Arabidopsis thaliana: one gene and its partner. The protein of the gene in region 2 interacts with the protein of the main gene of each other region in a pairwise test. Each region holds a gene or a part of one and is shown on either strand. Other genes may lie near its edges.

What was found.
Region 1: the proteins of AT3G56370 (region 2) and RXW8 interact in a protein complementation assay, tested with the Arabidopsis thaliana proteins (one large-scale study listed by BioGRID).

The regions. Positions count from the first base shown.
Region 1 is NC_003070.9:21,724,846-21,741,968, reverse strand, and holds RXW8 (GDSL-like lipase/acylhydrolase superfamily protein), read right to left. Parts: upstream 9,404-17,123; 5' UTR 9,166-9,403; intron 8,552-9,165; exon of another isoform or gene 8,515-8,551; 5' UTR 8,427-8,514; coding exon 8,146-8,426; exon of another isoform or gene 8,049-8,145; coding exon 7,902-8,048; intron 7,799-7,901; coding exon 7,735-7,798; intron 7,611-7,734; coding exon 7,401-7,610; intron 6,772-7,400; coding exon 6,577-6,771; intron 6,152-6,576; coding exon 5,853-6,151; intron 5,632-5,852; coding exon 5,355-5,631; intron 5,029-5,354; coding exon 4,753-5,028; intron 4,459-4,752; coding exon 4,225-4,458; intron 4,140-4,224; coding exon 3,962-4,139; intron 3,884-3,961; coding exon 3,804-3,883; 3' UTR 3,219-3,803; downstream 1-3,218. Other genes in the region: AT1G58525 (GDSL-like lipase/acylhydrolase superfamily protein), read right to left, coding at 10,625-10,797, 10,918-11,173, 11,276-11,500, 11,589-11,719, 11,813-12,056; RBP1 (RNA-binding protein 1), read right to left, coding at 13,430-14,290, 14,374-14,595. UniProt on the Arabidopsis thaliana protein: Acts as an osmosensitive calcium-permeable cation channel.
Region 2 is NC_003074.8:20,892,799-20,908,342, forward strand, and holds AT3G56370 (Leucine-rich repeat protein kinase family protein), read right to left. Parts: upstream 10,283-15,544; 5' UTR 10,037-10,282; intron 9,663-10,036; 5' UTR 9,593-9,662; coding exon 8,163-9,592; intron 8,070-8,162; coding exon 6,605-8,069; 3' UTR 6,301-6,604; downstream 1-6,300. Other genes in the region: AT3G56340 (Ribosomal protein S26e family protein), read right to left, coding at 1-61, 166-250, 340-432, 543-545; AT3G56350 (Iron/manganese superoxide dismutase family protein), read right to left, coding at 1,357-1,464, 1,586-1,663, 1,766-1,822, 2,153-2,278, 2,366-2,412, 2,518-2,827; AT3G56360 (uncharacterized protein), read left to right, coding at 3,843-4,544; RR17 (response regulator 17), read left to right, coding at 12,682-12,817, 12,926-13,005, 13,100-13,177, 13,296-13,369, 13,474-13,570; AT3G56390 (WRKY transcription factor-like protein), read left to right, coding at 14,556-14,792.

The DNA of each region.
Region 1 (17,123 bases), on a different chromosome or scaffold from region 2:
AGAGAGAAAGAGACAGATTAGAGATGGAGAAAAAAAATAATCGTAACAAGAGGAATTAGGGTAAATGAAAGAGAGATGTGGTTAAGGGACAAATAAGGAATTTCACTTGGAGAAAGTGTCCTTTCTTTTGAAAGTGTCTCAACGCACAAATACTTTCAATAAAGTGCCTTAGAGTATAATATTCTCTTAAAATAAACTCTAAGAAAATGACAGAAACCAAGTTGGGTACCCACGGGTAGTCTCGAAACAATCAAGTTTTTTCGGGCTTTACCCACTAAATTAAAAACCCATCTGGGTTTTCTAAAATTGGGTTTTTGGTGGGCGGGTTTATTTTGGGTTCAGGTCGGGCTGGGCTTTTTTACCACCACAACATCTCAGAATATGGTAATACTTTGTTGAGAGGTCGAGCATCTTAGATTAACTTCTTTTTTTTTCTCTTTTTTTTTTCATTCCTATAGTGATTTGATCGGCTTTTACTTGGATTGTATAATAAACTAAAGGAGACCCATATTTAAACAGAGATCATGCAGCTTGAGGGAGCAATTTTCTTTATAACTTATCGAAGAACTTTGACTTTATAAATTTTTGTTAACATAATATAATATGAGAGGGTTTTTTTCTTCTGAAACTGCTCTATTGTTTAGCCATTTAGGACTACATAGGACTAACCCCCACTTTTTACTAGGGTTTATGTGACTACAAAGCTATTTATATATTTATTCCAATTCCGCTCCCTTTCTATTGTATCCTGATTCATGCCAAAAATGAGGTAATTTCAAACAAAAAGTTAGATTGTAATTGCAATTCTCTTATATTTGTCTTTTGGGTACATCAAGTTATTTCTCCTCTCTAAGAATAAAGCGGTTGACAAATATTTTGTGACGAATTTGGATTTATTTAGTTCCTCATCATTGCTCTTTTAAAATTTATTTGTTAGAAATTTCTCTAATTAAGAGATTGCAAATATCATATGGTTCTTACCTCCAAATAATCAATCCCACGTCAATGGATTATAAGGGTAGCAATCAGAGCTACAACACAAACAGCAGAGAGCCGAATGCCTATAATATGATCTCTTCAAAGTTAAGGTATCCATTATCCATTTATGACATCTTTCTATCTTTTCAACTGGATGAAATTTTCACTCAAGCTGGAGACAGACATATATCTTATGACTGCTTCACTCACGTTGGCTTTCTTCTTGATAGCGATTGTATATCTTAATCAGATTGATGAACATGTGGGGTCATGATGGCTATTTGTTTGCAGGATATGGGCTGATGAATGCCCAACAAGTTATCCCACAGTCGCTTGTTGTGTGCATTGGTGCTTGTGTTTATCTTGTAAAAACTTACCTTCAGGTATCTAGAAACTATAAAGTTATCCACGCTATGCGTGTATTATATGTTCGGTTTTAGTTTTGAATATAAGATGATTTATATTAAGTATATATAATAATTATCTATTATTGTTAATATATCGCTCAAAAATAATTTAAAATATTGAGTTTGATGTTTATAAATTATGATGTGTTTAAAGAAGACACTTTAGTTGATTAAAAATGTTCAATGCACTAATTTGTTTTTTTTTTTTTGAAAACAGTATGTTTTACTATATAAAAAACTTAAAATAGTCAGGAATGTTTTTTTTTTTTAAATGGAAATGCATGTATTACCAATCGTCTTGAAAATTGAATAAATTGATCAATTTTTCACGTTAAAATTTTTAAAGTCTATGATTTAAGATAAGTTTCAATGAAAAATGGGACCACCAACTTATCTAAATACAAAATATGATAAATATACGGAAAACGATAAATTATATCTATAATAATTAAAATAAAACTCGAAAATAATTAAAAATATTAATTTTGATGTTTACAAATTTTGATGTCTTTAAAACAGACACTTTAGTTAATTATGAGTTATCAATGCACTAAGTTTCATTTTCTGTTTTATTTTTTTTTGTGAAAACTCTATGTTTTACTTAATATAAAAACCTTAAATATTACTTTTTTGGGTGAAATGCAAATACATGTATTGCCAATTGTCTTGAAAGTCGAATAATAAATGAACCCTCCCACTTCACCAAAAATTAAGAGCAAGTAAAAAATTTATCACCTTGAATGTTTTTTTTACTGGATTTTTCCCAAAAATTATATTAAAAGAACTAATATGCATCATGTATAATAATACATTTGATACATGATTTTGAATTATACAAATTAATTTCTTTTCATTATGGTAATTTGCTTTCAACAGTTTAAGATTATTGTTAGACTTTTAAACAAAAATATTTTATTAGATATTTTCATGAATCCATTACACATCTACATATACATTTTTGCAACCACTTTGTGAAATAAATCCTCAAGTTGAGACTTATTTACAGTGTCTGTCACTAACATTTAATAATTGTTTTTGATAATTAGAAAGTAAATCTTCGAATTAAATATTTGACATTTAACTATCTTCCCAAAATCTCTCTACATTAACTACACGATTAGTTACTAAAATAAAACTTCCAAAATATTTAACCTCATTTAAAAATTACAAAATTATCATTTTTTATATTGCTTTTTTGCATAACTATAACAATTCGATTATAAGCATCAAACCGTTAAGATATTTGATATCAGTTAATTACTACAAAATTACAAAATATTTAGACAATAATTCATAAACATACCATAAATAAAATCAACATTAATAAAATAAATAAGTATTTTTACGTGACGGGTTGGCGGGACGGATTTGGCAGGACGTTACTTAATAACAATTGTAAATTATAAAATAAAAATATTTTATAGATAGATACAAGTTGCAAATTTTTCTATATATTAACTTTAAAAAAATATATTATCCCCGCGGTATACCGCGGGTTAAAATCTAGTGAGTTACAATATGGGTTAAATGGAAATAAATATTCTTATTTTTTAATATAATAAATGAAATGTCAAGCAATTGTTATTATTAGAACTCCAACCAGATAAGCTAATGAAATAAAATTCCAATTGTTTTGTTTTATTATTTAGCATAAGTATAGTTTTATTTATTTTTAACTTCATATTATGGAAAAAGTAGGGAAAATATATCTCTAAGTTAAATATTAAGCTTTTTGTAAATTGAAACCATAATTTTTTTATATAATTAATTTAAGATTATGTAACAATTGTTATTAGTTAAACTCCAAACAAATCAGCCAATAAAATTAAAAATTCTCAAATTTTATTAGATAACATGTGTCAACATCTCGCTTTTTTTGTTTTTCCTCGGTAAAATCATCATCTCTGCTTTTTCACCACTTACTTCCCTGATCTTATGTATATAAATCCTATCTGCTAGGAACTCACAATATCCTACTTCTTCCACCTTTCGTACGACATAATTTCCATAGATGAACAACTGAAAAATGGCCATCTCATCAAAGAGATTGATAGTTTTAGTTTCTCATACTCTGAGCTCTATAAAGAAGTTCCATTTCTTCTTGCAGTAACTATAAGATGTACATTTTTATCTTGGCAACAAGACTGTACATGTTTCCCCCATATAATTTGTATAGGAATTTTCATTGAAGAAATTATCAAATATCCCAGAAAAACTTACATCTACTTTTCTTCAAGTGAGTGAAAGTATTCCCAGTAACATTGGTTTTGCAGCTGAGCATGCCTACGAGAGAACTCTTGTGCTTAATGCACTGATTTGTTGGAGACTTTGTGATTGAACCAACACATAGGCACTTCACTAGTAAAAACATCTGTCTAGTTCCGTTTGTGAAGTTCGATCTTCTTTGGAGAAAGATGCTCAGGACTTAGTGTCATGTTCTTGACCAGATTCATTGCCTTGGAATCCCCATAACTCTTTAGCTATCGCATCCCCCTCCTCTGAAAAATATAAATCTCATTAGTCTCTAATCAAGTGATATCTATAATCATACACAAACAGTGATATAAACTCGAAACCTGGCTTCAATTTTTCAGGATCTGGTAACTCCTGCTTTTTGAAAGGATTACTACATTCAGCTTTACTCGATGATTTCTGAGAGTGTAATGGTATCTGCGAGTATACATTATGCAATTTTTTATGTAACTCTTCCATCTTTCCTGATATTTCATCAGCTCTGTCCATATCTATGAGAACCTGAAAAGAAACACATCAATCAAGCACCGAGAAGACGCATAAACTGCAGTAGGAACATCAAAGGTTTTGGTTACATTTAATATACCTGGGCAGGATTTTTGTTGAAAATGGGCGCAAACCTCTGCCGACAATACTCACTAAAAAGTAACGTGAGAAGAATTAACGGTATGGTGAAACCCGAAGCAACTGTTGATAGCTTTAATCCGAAAAACCCCAAAGCTATAATCTGTGTCAAGATCAGTGAAAAGATTGTTGTGTTGTGGAAAATAGGCCAGTATTGTCCACCGCTTTCGTACTTCGTAATATACACGTTGAGTATCTGCAAATAGAAACAATTCTGTTGAGCATCTACAAAGGGTTGTCTTTAAAAATATATATCAAGAGTTCTTTTTACTCAATGCATGAGCTTGGCACTACTAATGGCTCTTATCACATTGTACATGACTATAAACATTGCAGAAGCAAAATTCCGAAAAGCACAAATCCAATTTCCATCTAAAACATGCAGGTCACAAAGTAACTAAGCTTTCACAAATTAGGTACAAGTCCATTATGATGCTTTTGGAGAGATTAACTGTGATATTATGTACAAGAGATCAGAGAACACACTTACTTGATTTTTGTATATGAGATATGCAAGGAAAAAGTATATCAGCAAAAACGGCAGTATCAGTGGTGCTATGACTGAATTGGTGAAACCCAGGAGCCCAAACAAAAGCAGCCGAGGAATTTCGGTGTGGTATGGGAACCTAAGTGTTTCATATGACTCATCCTCGTTCTTGGTAACAACTTTTGCTACCAGATTCCAGATAAGAGCCATAGGCTGCATTATTTCACAAGCCAAACTGGCCCAACCAGATGTGAAACAATAGGTCATGAAGAAGCCAGCCTGCATACATGGTTAAAGCCATATTCAAAATCAATGATACAATTTTCATTTTTCCTAATAAATATGAAACACAAGCAACCAGAAAAGCTCAATCCCAAATAATTCCTCCAATGGGCTTTAATATCTCTGATATATAATTTTATCATGGAACGAGGAAAAAGAACAAACTATTAAAGTTCCAGCGCAAGAAAACACTATATCCAATCCGAAAGCTGCAAGATCTTGGCAAAATGTAACCTAGCTAATGTTCAGAGACTGTAGAAACCTGAACATTAGCAAAATTCAAACTTTTGCTCTGAAATGTAAAAGGACTATGGGTAAATTACCTGTGTTGGCACTGCTCTAGCAAGTTGTGCAGGTATGTCTCTGACACTAGAAAAGACATTCAGTTGCCTGATAACAGACCCTGATAATATATTCACGAAGAACACATTCCAAATGGTAAAATATAAGACTTTGATGCAAGCACTCTTCTTCCTTATACTCCGTGAAATACATCCCTCCAAGGCCGAAAAATACATCATCAATGGTGGAACGGCATAGAAAAATAGAATCAAGATCACACTGGGTAAGTACCCTGTGATGACCTGGTTTATAAAGTTCCTGCAAAATGGTTTTGGTGGCCCGATTAACTTGAAAGATGATAAAACAAATCAAGAACATAAATTTTGATTTCTCCAATGGTTTGAAAGCTATAGAGAAGGCTCGTGTGTTCTATACTGCACCGGAGTTCCGCCTACTTTTTAACGCCAATTCTAATATCATGTCCAGAAGAAACAAAACCATATATATATACATGCGTAAGGAACCAGCAGGGCACTCACTTGCTCAAGATGCCTCTTAGAAAAGGAAATGCGTGAGACAGCTGCACTAGTTGAGTCAGCCCTTGAATGAAGGTAACGGGAATAAGAAACACAAACATGAAAGCAACTGCACCAACAAGGGTTGCTATTTTCCGTATCCAAAGTTGTCGATAAGGAATGTTGAGATTCTTCCAGTACACATCATGAGGTTCTGGGGCTAAGTCTGTCACCCATAACATAGGATTTGATGATTGTAGAACCTCCGAAACAACAAGAGCATCATAGCGAGTCTTAAAAAACACAAAAGCAGCTGAACGTTCCTGCAAAACGCAGAAAATTTTGTGGCTTTAGTAAGCTATTCTATATTGTGACTAATTAAAATCAAGCATTGCTACTTCTAATCGCTACCACAAAAGTGAAAAATCTTAGTTAACTATACTGAATTGTCGAATATGGTGCTACAAATCATTAATGATGGTTTAAAACTGTACCGAGTAAACAAAACTATACAAGTCTATGCAGTATCAGACAATCAGACTGCCACTTCCAAAGTTCAATTTGTATCCCATTAAAGTAAAAGAAGTCTTTATCTGTCAGGACCAGGTGAAAAACTGAGAAGAAATGCAGTGGAAACTTCTAAATCAGTTTGTAATGTTAGTTGAAACGATCCTCTCCACTGGACAGAAGAAATAACAGATATCCACATCCTATGCCTAGATCAGGGAAAGACAGAAGAATTCCTTACTTGCTCTGTCGTAGTCGTAGTCATAGTCAACTCACCAAGCTCCATTCCTTTCACACTGTCTGCCTCATTCGATAGGATATGAAAAGAACTTGTGGCTGTAGGTCCTCCACAAAAGGTGCATGGCCTTAAACTCGGTTTACAATTGATTTCAGGAGAAACGTGTTTTAGAGTCTGGCACATCCTCTCCGCATCACGCTGAGACAGAAATTGGAATAATCTAAACGTCACACTTTTTATCTGACATAGAACATTAAATTTCAAATACTTTATCACAAGCACAAACCATCCACATATCATTTACCCAATTTCTACAACATGCTGACAGGTAATAAATGAGAAACTGATGTAGTGATACTGAAATAACCACAGTATCAGAAAGCAGTAGAATGAAAGCCCAGCAGTAGGATACAGACAGAGTTGCTCTAGAAGGTCCTTTCATATTCCCAGAATATGCATCTAAACTGTACCCCTTTTAGCTGATACACGAACTAAATTTCATTATTATATCTACTGTGCTATGTAATATCATCAATCTCTGCATCTAGTCATCAAATAACCCTTTATAACATCCAAGCAGCACATAACAATTCAGAACCATGAAATTTACACCAACTACGAAAGCTATCAACCAAAATGAATACTGCAATAAGAAGTAACACTTAAAGCTGGCAAAATGTTCAAAACTTCAAATCATTTTCACAAAGAGCAATAACAGTTTTTTAAAATAAATCTAGGTGACGGTTTTAATCTGACAAGTAAAGCAAGAGGAAGGTGGCCTGCGTAATAGTTTAGTTAAAAATGACTGTTCCAAGAAATATACGTACCAGCAGTCTCTGAATGATGCCATTATGGTAGACCATTTGGTGGGACACGTAGCTGGACGAGTAGTAGTTTGTGAAGAATTTGCTCAGCGTGTCGCTGTAAGATTGCTCAGGAGACCATGGAATAGCACGGATAAGAACGGTAAATTGACTTGGCTTTGAGGCACATCCAGTAATATGCCCAAGCCTCATTTTAGCTATGGTGCTATACTCCTACAGTATAAAAAAAATGTCAAAAGGTTGGGAAATAAACTAATAAGAAGATACATGGAGGAACCAAGAGTAAGTATTCAAGTATGCTGTATGCATGAGATAAACTAAGGTACGAGGTCCTCACAAAGTAGAGCAGAAGACATGCCGCTGAGGTTATAATGTACAGTGCAAGACAATGAACCCACAGCCTGAGAGCAATAAATGTAATGAGAAAAAATCAGCACTTTACACACTCTGCATAGAGTAACATCTTTCAAAGAGACATAGGTAGAGATAAAAAAAAACATTTACCATTTTGAGCCTTCTTTAAGATTTTCAATTGTAAACACTTCGGATGACTCCAAATGGATTTCCTTATGCACCATCGGTTGCCCATAATAATTAACAGGCAGCACAAAGGCAATGCAAATAACAGCAACTATAAAGAAAATACGAATGCTGCAGAACAAAAAACACAAAGTAAAACAAACACTACAGAACAAAACCAAGAAGCAGAACAAAGAAAAAGCATCTGGGAGAGTTTATTTTCAGTAACCTGAAAATGACCATCCTAAGGAAGACGACAGCATCAAGACCAGCAGCAGCTAATAACTCGTCTTCACTAGTCTCCCATGCTTTCACAAGCCAACTTGGAGACGGCACAAACCTCTCATACCAAAAAGGATCATAACGTCTAGCACCACCACAAACAAGCCTTCGGCCAAAATATACACAGTAATTGGCTGGCTGTTTCCTAAGTATGGAGTAAAGTGATAAAAGAACTATGCATATCGAAATATTAATTCCAGCAGATGTAAGAAGAGCTGATATCTCCATCTTAATCTTAGTTCAACTCCTTCCTGACTAAAAATCGCAGGAAGAGAAGAACTTCATAAGTACGTCGTCTCGTCACAAGATGGCCAACCTAGCAATACAGGAGGTTCTTAGATTGGCAGGAGAAACTGTAAGAAAACATCACAAAAAGAAAAAAGATAAGAACATCGAAATAACAAAAGTCCTGAAATCCAATGCTTAAAAAAACAGATAGGCTAACGAAACACCGCGAAAGAGACTGATAAACAATCGTCGATCAAACGTGTAAGTTGAATCCAAACTATCTTAACACTAACCAAAACTTTCTGCATTTGCATTGCAGATACGAAAAATTGGAAACATGAATCAAATCATAATCAGTACCTAAACTTGCAGAGGAAGATAAGTTGGTTACATACGACCCAAAGATAACAAACAACATAATGCACTGAGATTCAATTTCAAGTTATCAATTTCTGTTTTCCGTTAATCAAAATTACGATTCGCAATTTCAATGGTGCCTAAACAATAAAGTAGAACTACGATAGATGAAAACGCGGAAACGTAGAACAAACAATGAATCAGAGAATCGCATTCCACTAAATCCAGTGAAACAAACACAATTTCGATTCCCAGGGAAATCAATCGAAGCAAAATCATCAAATCCAATTCGTCAGAAAAATTACAGATACAACACGAAGTTGTATAACAGAATAAACCAAATCGAAGAGATTTCAGAAAAAAAAAAAAAAACATGACTTACAGAGAGAAATACCAAAAACTTTGGTTTGACTTCAGAGAATTCGATTGCGAAGAGAACCAGAAGATTCAGAAACCCTAAGAATTCGCAGAGAAGAGAAGAGAAAAAAAAAAAAATGAAACACCGAATTGCTTTTAAAATTCCAATTCCGCGAAGAGTTCGCATTTCCAGTTCATTCAAATCATAACTTAAAATGAAAACATGCAAATAATTAAAATTAAATACAAATGATTAGGCCACGTTGTGTGGCCGGTGAAGAAGGGAGCGACGATTAGGCCACGTGTCGGTTATAAAATGGTTGATGCTCCAAGATTTGATACTATGTGAGAGCGACTACTCTGTGGTCGAATTTATTATGACCGTTGGTTTTGTGATAGAATGGGTAAGATAGCGACACGTGTGGGTGCGTTTTTTTTCACAACGTTCGCTCAAGTGTTAGTTAAAACTGTTATGACTATTGAAAAATTAAAGGAAAGGTGAAGAAGGAATCATGGATTTTGGATTCATGTGTTTCTTGTTGCAAGTGAGATATGCATGAGTATGACATAAAAGTTTTATTCAATATAGTACTACTAGGCCTGGACATTCGGTTAACCATTCGGTTTCGGTTCGGTTGCGCATGGTTTCGGTTATTTCGGTTATAGTAATATAAGAACCATTTTGGATATTTGAGGAATTTTGGTTCGGTTCGATTCGGATATCTTTCGGTTCGGTTCGGTTCGGATATTAAACTTGGTAACCATAAATAAACCAAAACCGAAATAACCGACTAAAAACCGAAACAAAAAAAAAAAATTGACCAATAACCGATATAGAACGTACGTAAAAAAAGATATATTCACAACTCACAAAGATGCAAATATGGTCCATACTCTCCATAATATTAAAATACCTGATTCACAACTCACAAAATTCAACTTGCAAACTAATAAAGAGAAGAACATAGTTAAGTGTCAATACATACAATATATGTGATATATTATCTATCATACATATATGCTTTGGTTATCCTTTGGTTATCGGTTACTAACCTAACCAAAACCGAAACCGAAATCTAAAACATATAATATCCAGCCGGTTATTTTAAGCTATCCAAACCCGAACCGAACCATGTTTTTCGGTTCGGCTCGGTTCGGTTAATCGGTTAGCGGTTCTTTTGCCCAGGCCTAAGTACTGTAGAATAGTTTTTTTTTTTTTTTCTTATGAAAGTAACATATGTATACTATTTTGGGTATTATTATACTAGTATGTTACAAAAGGAATAAAATAGTCTAAAACGTATAAAATTCCACTATTTGATTGTATATTTTTCCGTTGAAAATATTTATCTTTATCCCACCAAATATTATTATAGAAAAAGAATGAATATTTAAAATTTAAGATATGAATACATAGTGAGACATGAATTAAGATGAAAAAAAATTTGAAACAAAAAGATACAATTTTCTTTGATTCCTCAACATCAATAGACTTTGCTCAAATATTTATCGAGTAAATTGTCGACGATAACTTGATAAGCTCTTTCAGATGGATGATAGCTATCCCAAAATATGTATGATGAAGAATTAGAACACGTAAATGGGTTCAATGAGTTACATAAATAGGATATTGTGAGCAGTCCTTTACCGCAACATCCTTTATCGGCTACGTCAAAACCTAAAAGAAATGAGATAATTGGAATAAAATTTAGTTCGACAATAAAAATGAATTATAATATATAGTTTCTATATAGATAAATCTGTTAGATGAACTTACCGTATTTTTTAGGGTGTTGGATCATGTCAAAAAGAGTATCATAAACATTAATGTAAAGGATAACACCATCCAACTCTTTATCTAAAGAATCTAATGCTGGAGAAAGTCTTGCGTTGAATTGTTTTGCCATGTTGTTTAGAGGTTCATTACATCCTCTTGTAAAAAAACCTCCAAAAACTGTTCTTTGTAATGGAACACAACCAACGGGGACTGCACTAAACACTCCAATTTTTCGAGCTCCAAGCTTATGTAATTCCTAATTATCAGTTATAGATAAGATAAAATAGTTAGTGGATATAACAATATATTATTGATTAGTTTATGTATTATTATATATAACTACGAATAAAATACTTACTCTCACGAAATGGACAGCAGAGTCAGCCAAGAAATTGGCATAAGAGGTACGGTCATATCTATGAGCTTGAGCTAAATAAGTGTGAGCAAGGTCATTGCTACTAGACACCACAAGAAAGAAACTATGTTCCAAGATATCTTTGGCTTTTTCTTCTCCGAAATGCCTCTTGATCTTTGATATATATTCTTTGAAATATATGAGTTGATCCCATACCGATATCACTGACTACAAAAATAAACATAAATGTAACAAAAAGGAATCACCCATAAAAACAACTAACAGTCGTGATGGAAAAACATAAGATATATGGTACCATAATTTTTGCTGTCAATGGATCATAACCAGTTCCTCGAGATGCAAATGTTACACCTTTAAGAAGATCCTCAGGCTTCAAATATGAATTCATATATGCTGGTAATGTCTTAGCCAATCCCAACTTTTCCGCTGAAATATTTGATAACATATTTATCAGATTATATATATAAATAGATATGATTTATAATTTTGAAAAATATAAAAGTTAATTCAAATAGTTACCAATAAGATCAGAAGGAACTCTTCCATCAGAAAATCTTCCAGTGGCGTCGCCTCCAGGATAATCTTTACCATATGGAGGAAAGTTACATTTAAGAAGAGTCGGAAGATTATTGTTATTTCCTGTATCCATTATTGAATCTCCAAAAACTATTAGCGCTGGGATCGTTGCGTTTATCCCTTGCTTGACTGCATTCGCTTCAACAGCGATTAAAACCAAAGCAAGCAATAGAATTTGAAGCTTCATCTTCTTCTTTAGTTTGTAACTTTTCTGCTCGAGATTGGCTTGCGTTTTACATTCAAAGACATGTGCACATATATACATGGTTTCGATTTGTTGGACTTCTAAAAATAACTCTTTCAAACAACAGTTGTTAGGTTCTATATATGAAATCTCGAATTAGTTATTACTTTGATATTAGTTGGAACGATAACGAAATTTAACTGTTATTTCTTACCAATGACATGGTAACAAAATGGTCTATCACGTGAATATACTATGTTTGGCATTAACACCAATTTCATAAATATAACCGTAAATTAATGAAGACACAAAGAAAAGTATGAGTAATATGGTAGTGTAATTGAACATGATCTCTCAGAATATGGTAATATAAATTTAAATTTTCTCTTTTGTCAACAACACTCAACGGTAACTTAGGTGCTGCCAACCACACATTACGTTCGATTTCATGATTTGTTGCATTGCCTAACAAAAAGAAAAGTAAAGACATTTACATAAAAAAAAAATTGAAACATTTTATAATGGTTAATAGATTCTTGAAAACTAATTCTCCACAATTTGTCTCAAACAAATTAAATAAAGATTTTAACCATGACTTTGTATTTTTGCTAAATAATATTAACCATGACTTCTCTCACTTGGTTTTGTACCACATATGTCTTCATGGCATTGAGTTTCCCTCTTGTTATCGAAGCCCACAAATACAGAAAATAAATAAGTTTGAAAGCCCTTTGATTCTACCACACCACACACCATCTACGTCCAAAAGCTCTTTTACATAGTTCACTGGATTGTAACTTTCAATCCAAACTCCATCTATTTCACCCGCCATGATCGGGTCTGTCACTTCGAAAGTTCATCCCTGGACATCTGTGCGTTCAATCTTACAACAAAATCCCACAAACGCTTACCCGGTTTCTCCAACTTAAAGCTCAAGGATGCTCGATAGTTTCTCCCGTCTCAGATTTATTTTCTTTCTACAATATGGTATTCTTAGAGATTTCCAGATTCAGTTCCTATTTCTACAAAACTATTTCCTTTTTCTACTGTTTAATCGACAATCTATTTCTTTGTTTTCCTTGATGAATTTAAAACATCATTGCCAATTTAATCAACGAAACCACAAAATCAACAAAACCATAAAAGCAACAAAATGAACTAAATGAGTGTGATATATTACAAATGCAGTAATATATGATACATAAGTCTTGGGGTTAAAATCAAATACCTAAACAATATACAAGGTAACCAAACCAACCCAACACATTTACCAAAGAGTTAATGAAGAAAGATGAGGAACCTAAAAAACCATTTAAAAGAGTCCAAAGAATTTCACTACCCTTGTGAGCCTATTTGCATTTATCATTCTGCAACTGTCATATATATGTACCATTCTGCAATGGTATTCCCATGTTACCTCCATTCATTCTCTGATGGGCTTGACTGTGGACATCAAGCTTCAAATCTACAAACTGATGTATTAGCGCACCAGCTGCATCCCCCGTTACAGGCCATGCTAGAGGATTGTACCCGGAAATGTTCGTACCCGAAAGATCAAACCCGTTCATGTATTGGATATAACCAAGATTGTTGGTGGGAGGAGGAGTAGGATGAGGAGGAGCACAGTAAAAACCGGTGGGTTGCATAATCGGATTGTTCCATGAAACGTTAGCCACTTGTGCTGTGAATTGGTAACCATAAGGATATTGAACGGCTTGGACATTGTGATGATAACCAAAGACAGGAGGAGGAAACTGTAAAACCATCCCATATCCGTTTTGCTCAGGGACATAAGGTGTTGCTTGAAAGCTGCTGTAGGAAGGAGGAATATTAACAGCATTACCGTTATTGCTCTGGATTCCTTCTTTAGGTATTGCCCGTTTCACTTCCACGCGTTTATCACTCAACTCATGGAAATTACTCTGCATAACAACCTCAACAGAGTCCTCCGAATCATAAGTAACAAACCCAAAACCCCTTGGCCTGTTAGTCACACCGTCATGCATCACAACTACATCAGTAGTCCTACCAAACCTCTCAAAGTAACTCTTAAACTCTTCCTCAGTCGTGTTAGACGACAAACCCCCAACAAATATCTTCTTAGTCCTACTGGTCACACCATTACTCGACATCTCACGCAAACCACCATTCATCTGTTGCACTTTTCTCTCCAAAAACTGCATGCTAAACGGCTGTTGGTATAGTTCATGTTTCCTAATCGCCTTTCTCACATCAACCTAATACAAACACACACATAATCAATCCACAGAGTATACACAAAACCCAATTGACACAAGCATAAAAAGGCGGTAACACTTACGGGTTTACCGAGAATGAAGTGAGTGTCTCTAAGAGCTTTAACAACATCACAATCATTAGCAAAGCGAACAAACCCAAAACCTCTAGGTTTTCCAGTGACTTTCTCTTTAGCTACAACAGCTTCCAACACAGCTCCATATCTGCTAAAATACTGCTTCAGAGCTTCTTCACTTGTCTCTTTCGCAATACCACCAACAAATAACTTGTACCGATCATAATCCATATCCTCAAATACCCTAATTTTGCAGGTTTGTCTGAGATTTTTGCCCTAATTTCGGAATAGATAATAAAAAAAATCAGAATTATGACATCGAGAACACTATTAACAGTTGAAAATCAAAAACCCCTAAAATTAAACAAAAACCCTAATTTGTAAAATTTGGGATTCTAAATTAAGCAATGATTATGGAGAAAAGAAGAAAAATGGAACAAGAAATTGAGAAATTGTGACAAAACCCCTAATTTTTGGGAAGCGAACTGTAGAAACTAAAACCCTAGCAAGAAAAAAATTTCATGGCGAAGAGGAAAAGTTTACCAGATAGGAGAGAGAACAGTAGATTGATTTGACACGGCACGAGGGAGAAGACGAAGAGAGTTAAAAGTTAAAAACTCTTTTTAGCTTCTTCAGTTTAACTTTTTTTTTTTAATGTCGAGAGATAATGATGAATGTAACTAATGGGCTTTAAAAAAGCCTTTGTGATAAAGATTGTAAGCCCAAATCTTATCGTATTGTTTGTTGATGTTCTGTTTAATGTTATCCTCGTTTTTTTTTTTTGGTTTAAAAAAATGTTATCCTCGTTGGAAGAGAGAATATTTACATTTTGTTTAAATATTTTATTTTGTAAAGATTAGCTTGAGGTTTTGCATAATTTGGATGAGTATATTATAAATAAAAAAATTCATAGAAGTAATAACTACATTTTTTTTTAAAAACTTTTTTTTTATAAAATTGGATTATGTTTTATTATTTATGGTTGTTTATTTATAAAGCCCAATTTATGTGTGTTTTTAAAGAACTTAATATTTTTTTTTCTCTAAAACAAATGCAATAAACTACACCAAATCTTTTCACAAAAAGTTTTGTATTTGAAATCTAGCTACAGAATACGTCCTATTAGGCTATAACATATTGGATGGGTCGTTGGATTATAAAATTGAAAAAATAATTTAACTAAAAAAAAGAGTTATAAGTATATGAAGTCAACTATTATCAAAATAGTATTATGGGGTTAAAAAATTATATGAATTTTCATTAAGACAATATCCACTTATGAAAAGAAAAAAAAATAACAACCCGAATAAATTTGTGTAACGGCTAATTTTATTGTGACAATGTAAACGAGTGATTTTATTGTTTAAAAAACAAAAAAAATCATTATTTCTCATGTTTTTAAATATTGTTATAATTGAGTATATCTTGAAAAAAAAGAAAGCAAAAAAATCTTAACATATTTGACGTAATTATCAAAAACAAAGATTGTGTACTCATGTGCTTCGGCTTTGGTCTAAATGATGACATCAAGTTTGTTAATATTAAATTTTATTTACTAATTTTCAAATCTGAGAAATTCATCCTAACCAAACTAGATTATGTTTTTATTCAATATGTATACTTCTTAAACCTAAGAATCCAACAAAATAGAAAGATCCCAACTGAAATCATACCTATAATTAAAACTGCTACAATTTGTTTGATGGATAACTAGTTTAAAGAAGGTTCAAAAGCAAAACGGACGTACCACAAATAATTTACAATTCATGCATATGAAGAGAACAAGCAGCTTTAAAAGAAAGTAAGAAAAGAAAATTAATTTGGATAACTAGTCCTCCATTTGCATCATCGATTTTAATCATTTGCTTCACTTAGTCTATTGTCTTTTTTTTTTTGAGATTTTTGAGCTTTTTCATTTTTCATGGGTCAAAATTGTTTTCAAATGGTATTTTGTTTTGATTTTGTGATCTGCCTTGTACAGTAAATACACTGCTTATTTGCTTTGGTTGTGATGTTTTTTTTTAGCTCAATACTTCTAATTTTTGAAATAAGTCAGAAGATTATGTATTTTGTTTTGTCAACATGAACTTTTAGGTTAATACAGTAGATAGCTTAATTCATCTGCACTTATTTTATGGTTATAATTGTTAACATTATGTGTTATTCTTTTATATCTAAAATACTAAATAATGTGTATAATTATTTTAATCGGTATAATATTCTATAAATTAGCAAAATTTAATTTCATATAATTTGTATAAATTTGGTAAAATTATTTATATAAAATAGGGTGTTTGTAATATAAATATTTGATACGTATGACTTAAACTTCTTTCACCATTTAAAATTTTTTTGGACTGTAAGAACCGGTTGATATGCACTTGTTTCGCCAAAATCACATGATTTGTATTGTTCGACTTGATCCTATTAAACTGTTTGATTCGCTCTGCCTAATCTATTTTCTCTTATGAGCCAATATCTAACATTATCTAAATATTGTAAAAATTTATAGTACATATTTGAAAATCATATGAAATTTCAATACATGAGATAAAATGACAGAAGCGATGGATGTGTGTATACCTATAGAGACGCAGATTACGGACGATAGACTGTCACAAGGGCCACTACTAGCCACTAACCAATTTGCCATGTGAACATGAAATTTCACATCCTAAGGGACCAATTGGTCCATTTCCATTATTACCATTCAATCTACAAACATACACATAAATACATCTGTATATAGTAGAGTCTCA
Region 2 (15,544 bases):
GAATGGATAGCACACGAGACACAGTACTGCGTCTTAGCGTAAAGCTTTGGGAGAGTGTAACCTACCAATGCAATACAAATACAAAACCAATTACACTCTGAAGTCTCAAAACAAAATTCCAAATACACAATTAACAATGCATAACAAGAATCTATCAACACATACCTTCGTAGACGCTAGCTTCTTGAACATCTCTAATAGCAGCCTGCTCAACAATGTTCCTTACGATAAATCTCTTAATCGCCTTGTCCTATCAACAAGAGAGCCAAAACCAGATCGATACATTTTCAATCTTAAGACAAATCTAGAACCGGGAAATGATTATGTAGGAGAATGAACCTTGGGGCAACACTTTCCACAGTTGGAACACCTGATTGGTTTCACATGACCACGGTTATGCTTGTTCCTGCCACCATTCCTGCGCTTGAAAGTCTGCAATAAAAAGCAAACTCGAATTCAATACACAATTTCGCTTTCAAAATCACTGTGAGCTTGATTCTGTGTTCTAAACTATGAATCTAACAAAGAAGGAGAAAACTTGCCATGTTTATGCAGAGAGCTTCAAAAGCCTATTGCTTCAGTTCTCTTTGATGCGGCGACAGGGAAGAAGAAGAGTGCAGGAACCCTAATATTTGCGAAATATTCTATTATATATGCAGACTCTTCTAGGTTTTATTAGGAATGGGTTATATTTGGGCCTGAGCAAGCCCAGTACATTGAAACTTTGAGAAATTAATTCACTAAAACTTTTTAAAAATTTGTTTACATGTTGAAAACTAATCGTGTCTATGCATATATCATATACGTCACTGGATGTCGAAACTACCGTAATTTTTTATGGGACATGTGAATCAGGAGAAAAATGATGGTGCTGCGGATATGCTCTCAAGACATGCTTCTACGATGTACCCAATATATCAAACTTTTACAGTAACACCAAGTTGGTTGGCGAACTATTTGGACCACCCTTTTACAGTCTAATAAAAGTGAGATGCTAAGAAGAAGAAAAAAATAATCTACTCAATTTTAAGAGTACTGATTTATGGAAGAAAACTAAAAAAACTGCTCCGGAAATTTCATTTATATAATCTTAAATATTAAACTTTAATTATTATATATTTATAGATTTGTTACATCTTATATATTTACAAATATTTCATTTAGTCAAACCAGAGCAAAAGAAATATAGATTTATTTTTATTTTTACTTCTAAAACAAGAAAAAAAAGCTTAACAAACGTTATTTTCCAAGGTACATACATAGCATCTTAAACTTAATATTGCATCTTCGGTACTGCCGTATTTATCAACAAGACAAGAAACCCAAAAAACAAAAGCTACTACAGACATATAAAACTCAGTTAATATCAAGATCACGAGTGTGCTTCTCGAAGACGTCCGCTGCATATTTCCAGTTGATTACAGTCCATATGTTCTTCAAGTACTCCGCTCTTGCATTCTTGTACTGCATTACCCGCACCCATTGATCAATGTTAATATTCAATCAAACAGTTCTTTTACTAATAAAACCGATATTACTCTACCTGATATCAAATCAAGGAGTATTATAATTGAGATTAGAGTACCTGTGGATAGTAGGCATGCTCCCACACGTCAATCCCAATTAGAGGAACTAGGTGTGATCCCTTAGTCACCAATGGATCCTGTATGTTCGACCAATCTATCAAATCTTTTTCTTTTCTTTTTCCCAAATCCTTGTGAGATAGACCATGTTACAAATTAGCTTAATCACTACATTAATCTACCTGGTTGGCTGTGGTTTCAACGACAAGTCTCTTAAGCTCTCTGTCTAATCCAAACCACTATAAAACAAAGAAAATATAAACATTGGTTTTATCTACACAAGGAAATACAAAAGTTCCTGTTTATTAACAAAAATGAAATTATAGATATTTCTAATACTACACTATACACTAACCAAACTTATTGTCCCGTTTAGATTTTCCTTTTTAACACCTTTTTTGAAATTAATGTTTTTCAATTTCATTTCGAACAGAGTCCTATATACATCACATATCCAATTCAAATTGAAATGAATTTTGATATTCTGTCAGAAATTTTTATAAACTTTCATCTGAAAACCAATAATTGTGTTCCCAACATTGTTAATGAGATTCTGAAAAAAAACTTACCACCCATCCAGATCCCTGTACAGCAGCGCCTTCCGCGTTCATTTTTTGGATCAATCCTTCTAGTGATCCGAAATGAGCATCGATCGCCGAAGCCAAAGGATCATGCGGTGGTTTGCCACCTCCTTCCTATATATCAATTTGACCCCTTAGAAGAGACAATTAAACTCATCAGAAATAGACACATGGAGTGACGACAAAAAAACATTTTTGTACATGAACCGGGGCTAGGTTTTTCCAGAAGATTGCATGGTTAACGTGCCCTACAAGCAAAGCAACAGAAAAAAAAAAATCAAAATCCTTACGATCAACAAGCACCTATCGGAAGAATTTAATGAGAACTTAGTCGTTTAAAGCTAGGGTTTGACCTCCGCCGTTGAACTTGATGAGGCTTTGGAGTTTGACGACGGAGGAGTGATCACCGTCAGCCATGGCAGAACGAAGGCTGTTGAGGGCTTTGTTGTACTGAGTGACATAAGTCTGGTGGTGTTTCTGATGGTGTAGCCGCATGATCTCCTCACTGATTGCTGGCTCTAGCGCATCATAAGCATACGGAAGATCAGGAAGCGAAGCAGTCTTCATTGATTCGAGACACGGTTCCATGGTTGCTCCTCTGGCGTCGTGAAGAGTCGTAGCGAAGATGGCAACGAAGATAATGATAATAACGGTGGTCGTCATGATCTTTTTATATATGTAGACACTAGAAAATAGAAATAAAGCGAGAGGTGGATTTATTCAGATAAGTATATAAAAGTATTTTCTTAGCAAACAAAAGTATATAATTTTACTAAGCCACGTAAACTTTGACTGATCTACTTGTCAATCTCTAAGGCTTCATGGCTTTAAGCGTTTTGCATAGTTGCTCGATTTGTGTCGCAACCTTAGGTTGATGCATATTTATGTTGTTTTTGCATGTGCTTTTGTCTTTGTGTAGTTTATGGCAGGAGAAACGTAAAACGCACCTAACATTCCAAACCTCAGTCCAATGATCCAATCCTTATATGCGAAAGATCAACGCACATAAGTATAACAATAGTTTAGTGGTCTGGGCCATACCGAAAAGGCCGAAACTTTCCTCAAAAATAAAAAACGACGGGCCCAATCTATTCTAAAAGACATTGTCCACCGTGGAATCTGACGTGGCGTATCTTATGGTCTAGATTATAAATAACAGAGATAACACGTGTTCACCACAATTTAAATCCAGTACCAGCGTGTGCCCGCCCAAGCCATGCACACAGCTAAACCGCGTCGCCACGTTCTCCATCTCGTACCGGCTTCACGTAATAGCAACCGTTAGATTTACATCGAACGGTCCATATCTGATATCTAATTAGTCTATATCGTCAACACTTTACAGGGAATAATCACCTACTTAAGCCACCTCAGACTTTTGAGGATAACGTGAAGAATAAGATAAACGCGATTTCTACCATCTCTAAATCTCAACCGTCCGATCAAACAACTTACACAACTTCCGTGCTGGAGAAATAAAAAAATTAGGTATTTAATAATTCATCATTGCCATTGGATTGTGTGTGGCTGCGTCAGTAAAACGTATTCTTAAAAGCAACCATTGGTGTGATTGACTCTATAAGAGAATTCGTCAGCGTGAAGCAATCTCCAATCTAATCGCAGCATATCTTCTCCGATTCCTATTCGTCTCTGCAATTGAATCTTCCGGTAGGCGAAGATGGCGACGTCTGCGAGGATTTGTTGCGGAGGAGGAAGTGCATGCGCCGTTCGTTGTGATCGTCGCACGTTAAATTTGAATTCTCGATCGTCATGTGTTGTTCCAGTGACGAATCGACGGAATATGTGTGCGATCGGGAAGATTTCGATGTCGATGGAGGATTTGTCACCACCGTCTGCGGCGGTGAAGATTGAAAGGATCGGTGGAAGGAAACGCGGTGGATCTGTTGTGTCGAGGGAGAAGCTAGATGTGTGGTTGAGAGATTCGGTGGTTGAGATCGTGAAGAATCTTAGAGAGTCGCCGTTATTGATGCATTTATACGCGGAGGCTAATGGTGGTTTGACGACGACGGCAACGAATCCAAAGGCGGAGGATTGGACAGAGATGGAAGGAAAGTGGGGTAGAGGAGAAGAGAGGACGCCGGAAGGAGTTATATTGGTGGAGAAGCTCGCAGACGGTGACATAGCAGATGATGATGATCACGATGGTGGCGCGTGTGGGGAAGATACAAGCGCGTGGGGGATTGTGGCGCAAGGAAGAGGATCGGATACTGGGCCGGTTTGTTATCTATTGAAAACGACCCGGGTCCGGTCGGGTATGGGTACGGTTTGCACCCATTTCTGTTTGGTTAAGGTCAAGAGTTTTAGGGAAACGGCTATGTCACAGTTGAATAATTCGTGGTTGGTGCAGACTGGTCAATGAGCAGTGATTGTCAAAGGATTTGCACTGTAAATTATTTATACTCTTTGGGTTTTGATTATGAAACCCTTATGGATGATCAAATTACATTTGTTATTAATACAGAACATTTTTTAGGAATTTGGATTGGTGATATAAATGTAAATAAAATGGTCAAAGTTGGTTGGTTATAGTGATTTGTTTAATCAAAGAACATTGTTAGTTTTGTTGCTATTGTAGTATAGAGGATTTGAATCAAGACAAGTAGACAACTTAATCCGTGTAAGATCTATATGCAATTATGCATTCATTAACACCACAATAAGCAAAAGTGTAGGTGGATTTAAAACTTCTGTTAGTGATCATAGTGCAAAGCCTATAGCTGATACTGCCAGAAGTTGCATTAGAGTTCATAACCTCCGTCGGAAAATTCCGGAGTCGATCTCCGGAGATGGAAAAGAGAGAAAATGAATAAAACATGGTCGTGATGGAAAATTATGGATTGTTTGATTGGATCATTTATATGGATTTGGATATTGGATTTAGATTTTAAGGCCCGTAAATATATGGAAGGTATAGGCCTTTGTTCCTATGGGCTATGAATGATCCAATGTTTATTTTCTTCTTTTTTATGAATTCTCTGAAAGAATCCAATAAATTGAAATGACATACAATAAGCTAATCTAAAGGGGCCAAGGAGTTTCATTGTTTATGACTTTGACAAGCGATACACATTTAGCAGCACAAGACATTTCACGATCGGACTTACGGAAGTGAATGATTACACTTAATCAACCACCTCTAAATTATTGGCATCACCATCTAAGACTCTTAAGTTATGGCTTAATTATGATCACCATTATATATATTTTTTTTTTAACATTTCACAATCTTATTTTTTTATTTTTTTGGTTTATACAAGGTTCCTTTTTGGGATTTTTTTGGAAATAATCCAATAAATGAAAATGACATATATACTGTATAAGCTAACCTAGAGGAATTAACTCATATATTAATAAGCTGTATATATTAATGACATGAAAAAATGTGTATAGAAAGATGAATTATTTTTTTCTCCAACCTAGTTATAAACCGAAGAATTGATCGGTAATATAATAATAAGCTGTATATGGAAAAAGAAAAAAATTATAAATGGAAAATGTCCCTTAAGTAACTTATTTTTTCAGGTTCCATTTCAAATGGAAAAAAAAAGTGTTAGCATATTTGGCTTAGAAAGTCAAAACGTTAGATGCCATCTCACTTTAATGCTATCATGTACAATATTGAAATGGATTTTTAACTTATGAGTTAAAATGTCAAAATGTTGCAAATTACCGAGGCTAGACAACGTAGATTGTAGTACTAATTTCGTCTTTCCCAACTCCAAGAGAGAAAAACGTGGTCTGTTTCAGACAAGGCATGCTCCATTCCTCTTTTATCGGCCATTGAAACTAGGGTTCTTCTGTTAAAAATGTACTTATATTATCCCTCAAAAAGATACTAATGAATAATGTATTTTAATTACAGATTCTTGAGACGTTTCTTCGATTCCCATAATCCAATAAAAGATCAGACCCATTAAATTGTTGAGTTTTCACAGAGTCCCATGCACATGGTTACAACAAATGAAGCTTCTTAAGTTATTTTATACTCTCTTTGTTCAGAGAGCATCATCACACGAAGTCACTAAGTTTTATCTTGATTCTTGTTTTTCTCAACCCTAAGTTTTTATTTGTCTCACAAGAAAGCTCTTATCTTCTACGACTGCTAAAAGATGGTTCAGAACCTGAAATGAAGACTACAGGCTTTCTTTCATAATAATACTTAAGATTTCATCGAAAGAGTCCCATATTATGGAACCCGGTGAAGACAAATCCGATACAGCCCTAAAAATGTTACAAGAACAATAAATAGAAGAAGCTACAAACATTGAAATTGAAACTAACAGACACAAAAGATAACACATAAGAGATTATCAAAAAACAAACACAAACAAGGATTTCTCTTAAAACCCCCAAATGAACAAACCGGATTCCTCTTCGCCGGAACTTGGTGAAAAAACATGTTAGTCTTTAACCTTCTTTTCAACTTGAACCCAACTCATCTGAGCTCCCTGAAGGGCATCTGATCATCCTCAATATGTTAACAGCTTCTCCCATATGTGGTCTACTTGATGGAACCTGAGAAGTGCAAATAAGCCCTAGCTTTATCACTGCAACCGCTTCTTCTACCGGAAACTTCCCTTGCAGCCTTGGGTCAATACATTCATCTGCTCTTCCATCTTCAAGAGCTTCTCTCACCATATCACACAAAACCACAACATCATCTTCCATATACTCCACAGGCTTTTTACCTGTAACCACTTCAAGGACCAAGACTCCAAATCCATAAACATCACATTTCTCTGTTATTTTCACCGTTCTACAAGCAAACTCTGGAGCCATGTATCCCAACGCACTCTGTATCTTGCTACTCAGCACGTACCTATCTAGCATAGGTAACAGCCTCGCTAATCCGTAGTCTCCTACTTTAGGCTCACCAGAGCTGTCTAGCAACACGTTGCTCGATTTGATGTTGTAGTGGATGATGTTTGATTGGTGCAAGTAAGCTAAGCATTTCGCTGTACCAAGGATAATGTTGAACCGATCATTCCAAGAAAGCGAACTATTACCTCCTGGTGCTTCGTGCAACTGTTTGTATAAACTCCCACCAGAGAGAAACTCATAGATCAGAAGCTGGAGAGAAGTTGTCCAGTAATATCCTTCGAGTTTAACCAGATTCGAATGCCTGAGTTTTCCAAGTTTCTTCACCTCTCTTTCGAATTCGTCCTGAGACTTGACAAGACTCGAGACAGTGAGCTTCTTGATAGCTACAGGATACCCATCTCTGATAACTGTTCTGTACACCGCTCCAAATCCACCTCGACCAAGCTCACAGTCTTTGTTAAGCAGAGCATGTGTTCCAGTGCTGAAATCAGGTTCACCAGAGAACATCACCAGCTTCCCTGAGTTGCTATCAGTAGTGGGAGATCGACTGAAGTCATCTCCGCCTGAGAACGTGAGCGGTACTGCTGATCTTGAAACCGTTGATGCGCGCACTCTCAGATTAAGTACCGTGATGGCTATTACACCAACCACAATGGCTGCAGCAGCACTAATGGCTATCAAAGAAGATATACTAAGCAGTATCCTTTTGTGACCAGCACCTGGAGGCACTATTTCACCATTGTAAGGATCGAAAGTTGCATTAGGATTCAACACAATCGGTTTAGGGGAGATGGCAGGACAAGACTTATTGACAACAGCACCGCAAATTCCCGGGTTTCCTGATACTGAACTTGGGGATAAACCGTTGAAGATTCCACCTGCAGGTAGTTCCCCAAAGAGATGGTTATGAGATATGTTGAATGTGTGAAGATAGCCGAGATTAGCCAACTGTTTAGGAAGTGTTCCGGCCAGTTCATTAAATGATAAGTCGACTTCTTCGAGTCTTGTAAGTTTAGCGAGCTCTGGTGGAATTGAGCCTAGCAGCTTGTTATGTGACAGGATCCTGTAGAAAGAAGCATGAAACAGAACACAGTTAAGACATAATCTTCAATGGGAAAATCTTAACAGAATGCAACCTAAAGCAAAAGAGACTTACAAAGACCGAAGGGAACTGCAATTCTTGATGGAAGATGGAATATTTCCCTCCAACAAGTTATTTTCAAGTCTCAACTCCTCCAAAGAAACAGCTCCACCTGTTTCTCGAGGAATCATTCCATTGAGCTGATTGTGACTCACATCAAGGACGCTCAAGTGCTTTAGTTCCCCAATGGTACTGGGGATGGGGCCGGTAAGAGAGTTTCTGGACAGATGCAATCCCTCCAGGTCTCTAAGATCTCCTAGACCAGCTCCAATCTCGCCAGAGAATGCATTGTGGGAGAGATCCAAAACCTGGATCTTCTTGATACCTCCAGTAGAGTTATCATTCTTTAATGCAGACACATCACGAGAACCATCTTGAAATAGCCACATGGGAAGCTTTCCAGTTAGTGAATTCCCACTTAAATCTAAGGCCAAGAGGTTGATACAGTTGGCTGTTGAGACCGGCAAGCTACCAATAAGCCCATTCCCAGAAAAGTTGAGAACTTTCAGTGCTAGAAGGTTGCCTATGGAGTCTGGAACCTGCCCTGAAAACTTATTCATGGAAAGATCCAAAGTCTCAAGACTCCTCATTTCTCCTATCCACTTTGGAACTTCACCTTCTAACGCATTCTTTCCCAAGTTCAGAGAATAACACAAACTGAGCTGCTGAAATGTATTTGGTAAGCTTCCTGATAGAGAGTTTTCACTAAGATCAATAGTCTTCAGCAGCATACAGCTCCCAATTTCGCTAGGAATAGGACCAGATAACCGGTTTCTACTCAAATCAAGCGCACGCAAGTTGTTCAATCTATCTATCTTCTCTGGAAACTCTCCCTCTAACTCATTCCTCGACAAATCAAGTGATCTTAGAGTGTTCAAAGACCAAATCCCCAAAGGCATAGAACCAGAAAAACCATTGGAAGACAAGTTTAAAGCAGCAAGAGACGAGCACGAGCTTATACTAACCGGAATCTTCCCCGTTAGTTTGTTCTTCGCCAGAGATAAAACTCTTAATGACCCACATTGCCTGAAAAACTCATCAGGAAGCGAACCAGACAAGCCATTGCTACTCAAGTCAACAACCTTAAGGTTAACAAGGCTCAGCAGCATATTAGGGTTAATGATTCCCGTGAGATTGTTGTTGGACAGAGAGAGCTTATGAAGAAACTGAAGCTGAAGTAGGCCACGACCAATTCGACCAGACAGAGAGAAGCCATCTAGATTTAACTCAGTGACTCGATTCGTCCTCGGATGGCATTTGACTCCGTTCCAACTACAAGGAGTGTAGTCATCTTCGTTCCAAGAAGCTAGCTTTTGCTCTGGATCTCGTAAATCGGCTTTGAAGACAATGAGCCCTAAAACGTCGTCGTTTAAAGGCGGGTCTAGAGATCTCACCGGAGCTACTGCCGACACCAACAAGACTGTAAAAATCAGTGCTTTGTACATCTTTCCACAACCCTCTTCTCCGTTGAACAGATTTTAGTTGCGGAAGACCTCCATTTTCAGTTATGTAGAGCTGAAATTAGAAAGAAGAAAATTGGTGAACACAAGAGAAAAAAAAAAACAGTACATCTCAAAACAAAAACTTTGTTTGTTCGTATTCTTAGGCGTTAGATTTAGTAGAAGAAAAGAACAAAAATCTATCTCAACGGCTACATTTCGGCCAACGGAGGAAGCAAAACAAAGCAAAAAACAATGAAGAAAAATCCGGTAAAACAAAGGCTAGTTATATGAATAGAAGTAGCTACAGTTTACTTGAAATTCATAGAAATTGAAGAAATATTCAACCTTCAAGTGAATGGCTGAAGTAAATGTTGAGCAAAATAACTTGAGTTTTTTTAAGTAAAGGAGTCATTGGACAGTTACGATCTGGAAATGAGGAATTCTCACCTAGTAAGAATTTTCTCCGGGAAGATTTCCGACGAAGAATGTTGCAGCTCAGGGGGAAAAAAAACACCGTAGGAAAAGAAAGTGAGAGAGCACGAGCTTCTTCTTCTTCTTCAACTTTGTTAGGTTTTGTAGCTTTAAAAGAAGAGTGAATTTGGGAAGAAGAGAAAAAAGCCAATAAAGAAAAAAAAAGAGAGCAGAGAGAGTAATTAAAAGCTGCCTTTATCAACGGGCTGGAAAGAAGAGAGTGTGGGGCCCGAGGAAGGTGGGTGGACTCATTAAAACTCTTTAATTGACACGTGTATTTATTTTGTTGGGTTTGACGAATCCGACTTGGCTGACACGTGGCTTTTATTTTTATTTTGTGTTGGTATAGTAAGTGGGAAAATGAATAAATGATTGGCCAACTCATAAAGAAAGAAACTATAAATTTGAATATGACTAAATTATCCTTCCCAAATAATAGAAACTTTCTTTAATGGGTTTACATGCTGCTCTGTGGCCTCTTGGTATGATTCAACTAATTAGAAAATAATCTTTCACATAAAATGGAAATAATGTGGAATGTGGTTGGTTCTGTTATTCTCATGCAGAGAATTGGTATTTTGGGTAAAAAATTATGCAGAAAGAGACAGTGGTTAAAGTGGTCACCATAGTTTTGGTTTTTCATTTTTTTATTTTGATTCTCTATTTTGTTTTTTGAAGTAAGAACATTAAAGTAAGTTGGTGAGGAATGATGATGGTGTCCTGGAAAAAATATTTTGTGGTGCTTAGAGATCATTAATAATTGCAACCATAATGTTATTGTTCATTTATGTACAATGTCCTGGTCAGTAGTCAATGCATCAAACTTATTAATTATGGGTTTACAAATTTTCTTGAAAAATTATGGGGTTTTGAAATTGGATCACAAACCTAAGGATTTTGGTTGACTTGGAGGAGCTACAGATGTAAATTTTGGATCTTCTGTTTGTGCAAGGAATCATACATTATGTAAACTTTTCCTACAGATTGAAATGCGGTTGAATAACTAAGTGTCAAACACTTATTGCCATAAAATAAAACATTAAAAAAAACAGATAATAGAACAAATGATGTTGAAAAAAATATTATAATCCGTTAAGCATGCTCTTGGAATTTTTTTAATTGTTGTCTTTCTCGTTTGAGATTTGGTCCGAGTCAAGACATTTTATCAGACTTCGGTCTCTCTCCCATACCTATGTTTTAAAATTTTATATTCCTTTTGACAGTAAAAGTTATTTATTATGAAATAAACAATGAAAAATAACTCTTTTCCCCATGGAAGGAAAACAACCCTTCATGGAAATTTTGGAATTTACTATTTGTTTCTATTTGCAATTTAACAAAGAGGCCTTTTTTACTTTTTAATGTATTCTAAAAATATAGGGTCAAATTTACTACTGTTTTTAAGAGCTTTCGAGGAATTTTTTGGGCAGTGTGAGCCGGACCGTAGCGAATTCACATTTACTGTTCTTCGCTTTCCATCTATATGAAGAATTTACCCTTTGTTTGTTTTCTACAGTTAGTATTTATTTCCACATTCAATTTTTACTCGAATCTTCCTCTGTCATATCAGGATTGGCATTTAGGACCAGCCATTAAAAGGTAAAATATTTACTTTCCGGTGATGTAAAATTCCAAATTTTCTTATATTTATTTAATTATTGATTACTTACAGTTTCATTTTTTATTCCATGGTAAATAACTACGGATAAGATGGGTCCAACTCTTCCATTAGAGGCCCATTAATGAGAAACGATAAATGGGCTCAGATAATAATAAGGCTTATCAAAGTTCTACAGTCCGAATTATATTTCAGGAAAGAAAACAAATTGAACTAAAGAAATGCGACTCGCAGCTACTTATAACGCGTTACAAGGCTGGCCCATGCAACTATGCAGCTATCATATCGGTCAAAGATTTCGTATTAAAATTTGAGGTTTTCACGATAATTAAAATTGACAAATAATAATATACACATCGAACAAGCCCATAGTTTAAAAATTCAAATACTAAAAATGATAATATATCTTAAATTTTAGAGAATCATGGGGACTTCGTAACTGAGATTCTGATACAGATTTGTGATCCATTTTGAAAATTAAATATGATTATAAATTTGCATCTTCATTATACGCACGATTAGAAAAGCCAAACAAATGGGAAATTAAAAATTAATATTTGGATTTTCGTTATCATCGTACAAGATCACAAAGCACTGTCACTGACATAAAACACCAAGTTTCTTACCAGTTTCCAGAGAATCAAATACCAAGAACAAAACCACAACTTGTTGTATCTTAAATTATAAGGAAGATAAAATCATATCAAATCATTTCTTGATATATTGTTATCCTATATATCCATATATAAATTAACAACATAATTATATATATATATATATATATATATACACATCCATTCTCAAATCTTTTTAATGTATCATTTCTCTGTTTTTCTCTCCTTCTTCTGTAAGTTTGTCTCTGTTTTCTTTAGGTTTGAGAATTAAAAGCAGTATAATGTATTAGTGTCTGACTCATTTATTCTCCTCCTTCTTGTGCAGATTTTTGTTCTTTGTTGCTTGACTCACAAGGAACAAAAACGATATCTCTCTGTAATCGTAGGAGATGAATAAGGGCTGTGGAAGTGGAAGTGATTCTTGTTTATCGTCAATGGAGGAGGAGCTTCATGTTTTAGCAGTAGATGATAATCTAATTGACCGTAAACTTGTTGAGAGAATCCTCAAGATCTCTTCTTGCAAAGGTAAACTATCATTCAAATTTTTTTCCTTCTAAATTTCAAGAACCAAGATTTCTTCTATATGGTAACATTGCCTCTGAAATGAAGAAATTGATTTTACTTTCTGTACAGTGACAACTGCAGAAAACGGGCTTAGAGCTTTAGAATATTTAGGCTTGGGAGATCCACAACAGACTGATTCATTGACTAATGTAAGCTCAATCTTCCCCATGAAACATTCTGATTGGTTTGGAGAGGAGACATTTGTATAACATCCAATATGACCTTTTGAGACTGTTTTTTCAGGTAATGAAGGTGAATCTCATCATCACTGATTATTGTATGCCAGGAATGACAGGTTTTGAGCTGCTTAAGAAAGTGAAGGTGTGTAAGAAATTTCTCACAAATGAAAAGTCCTCTTGACAAGATCAATATAGAGTTATATAGACTAACAAAATCTCTTTCTTTGTCTCTGTTTCTATGGTGTTTTTATTATTGGCAGCAGGAATCATCGAATCTAAAGGAAGTACCTGTTGTGATATTGTCTTCAGAGAACATTCCTACCCGCATCAACAAGTAAACTTATCATTCCTCAGACACATTGCTTAATTGTTCTGTTCTCTTGTTTTGTTTTCCTCAATGGTGAATTAAGATTCTGTAATCTCTTGATGATATTACAGATGTTTAGCGAGTGGAGCACAGATGTTTATGCAGAAGCCACTGAAACTATCTGATGTAGAGAAACTGAAATGCCATCTTTTAAATTGCAGAAGCTGAAGGTAGATCTGCTTAGACTCAAATGCTCATAGAATTTTTTTTTTTTTTTTTTTTTTGTTTGTGTTCTCTAATATAAGAGAAAATTAAAGATGTATTCCTAAACAATGACAAAGATTGTCTTGATCTTTAAAGATTTGTGGAGAAGAGATAAAAGCCCAATAAGGATCTCTCTGAGTAGATTAGTTTTATGAATTAGAAATGTTCTTTTTGGTCAGATTGCAAGAAATCTAGAATTCATTATTGGCAGTTTAGCTTTGTGGGTCCTGTTTAATCGTTTTTGGGCCCATTATATTTGATCAGACAATTATTTCAACATTTAATTCCCAAGTCTTCGCATGGACTTCCAAGATCGCCTTTAACGTTGAAAAGCTACAAATATTGAAAACAAGACTATGATGACGAAATCAAGGTGCATCTGCTTCTTCTTCTATCGTGTTTATCAAAACACTTACCCTCCAAAAAAAGTTAAATCAATTGTCGGACGATAGAAAACATAAACATGATCTAACGCTTTAAAACATGTTCTCACTTTTGTTAACCAAAAAAAAAAAACAAGCCTAGTCCTTATCTTCTTCTTGTCACATCGATTAAGTATTAAGAAATCAATTACTAAAGTGTTTGTTATGGGGATGGAGCAATTGCAAAGTTTAGTTTAATTAATCCATGTTTTGCCAATATGTCAACGCAAATAAAAGAATTGAGACGAAAGTCATTATATGATTGGAGATTGTATTACGTATACGTCGCATTCTGAAATATTTCACAATCTTTGTTTTTTCAAATTCGAATCAACATAGGATCCAATCTTTCTTTACATGTCCCTCTTGCTCTATAATATATTTTTATGTGTGTATATAGATGCATACACAAACAGGTGAAGCAAAAAACAAAATTTGTAAGGTAAAAAATAAGTGTTACATATGTTTTGTGTGAATACTTAAAAGAAGGCATAATCGAACCACAATAGAATTGATATAATCAAACGATGGAGGAGATATTAATGTCAATGATATTCAACGGAATCAATCTGGTCAAGGAGCTTGAGTTCAGTTTATCATCACAAGAGTCACCAGAATCAGATTTGTCGAGTTCTCTAAGCTCGATATCCACTCTATTCGGAGACGTCAACGAGCGGCTGAAAACCCTACTAGCGTGGAGGAACTCTCTGTCACAGTACCAGCCTGAACCGGAACCGGTTTTAATGTTGGATATGACGAATTGACGATGCAGATTGAACCGAGTCTGATGCAGGACCACTGGTTAATGTATCCAGTTATGCAGACAGTGGAGGGTAATGAAACCTCGAGACCAAGGCATCGAAGAAGGTAAATACAAACATTCAGTGCCGGTCTAACATATTTGGATACCCTAAACAAAGCTTAAAAACAGCCTTTTTGTACATTATGAAAAATCATAAATAATAATAAACTATACATTAAACCTCTAAAAATACACTTTAACAACAACTTTTTTTCAAAAATACACTTTAACAAAAAAAAATCCAAAAATTGTTGAAAAGTTCAATTTTTAAAAAACATTTCACATTAAACCAAAATTTACTATTAGAAATACTAATTAGTTTGTAAGAACCCAAAGCAATTCTTAAAAGACCCTACAGAAAATATTTATGGTAAAAAGACTTAGAAAATTTTAGTGTAAAAGGCCCTTAAATATTGAGGCATGAATTTATTGCTTCAAAATATAATGATCATCATATATCAAAGAGTTTCAAGAAACTAGTTAGAAACAACGAGTTGTTTTTGTTTTTTACCCAACAAGTCCTTAAAATAATTTTTTACTTGATTTTTGTTGTAGATAGGTTCAGAATGTGAGGAGCTTGGGGTTTTTCTTTTGTTGTGTTGCAACCAATGAATCAAAACCAAAAGAGACTGTTCTGTGTCACTTGTATCATGTCTCGTGTCTCATCTGCATTTTGTCCCTTTGTCCAAGGTTTTGTGTTTTTATGACCAGTAC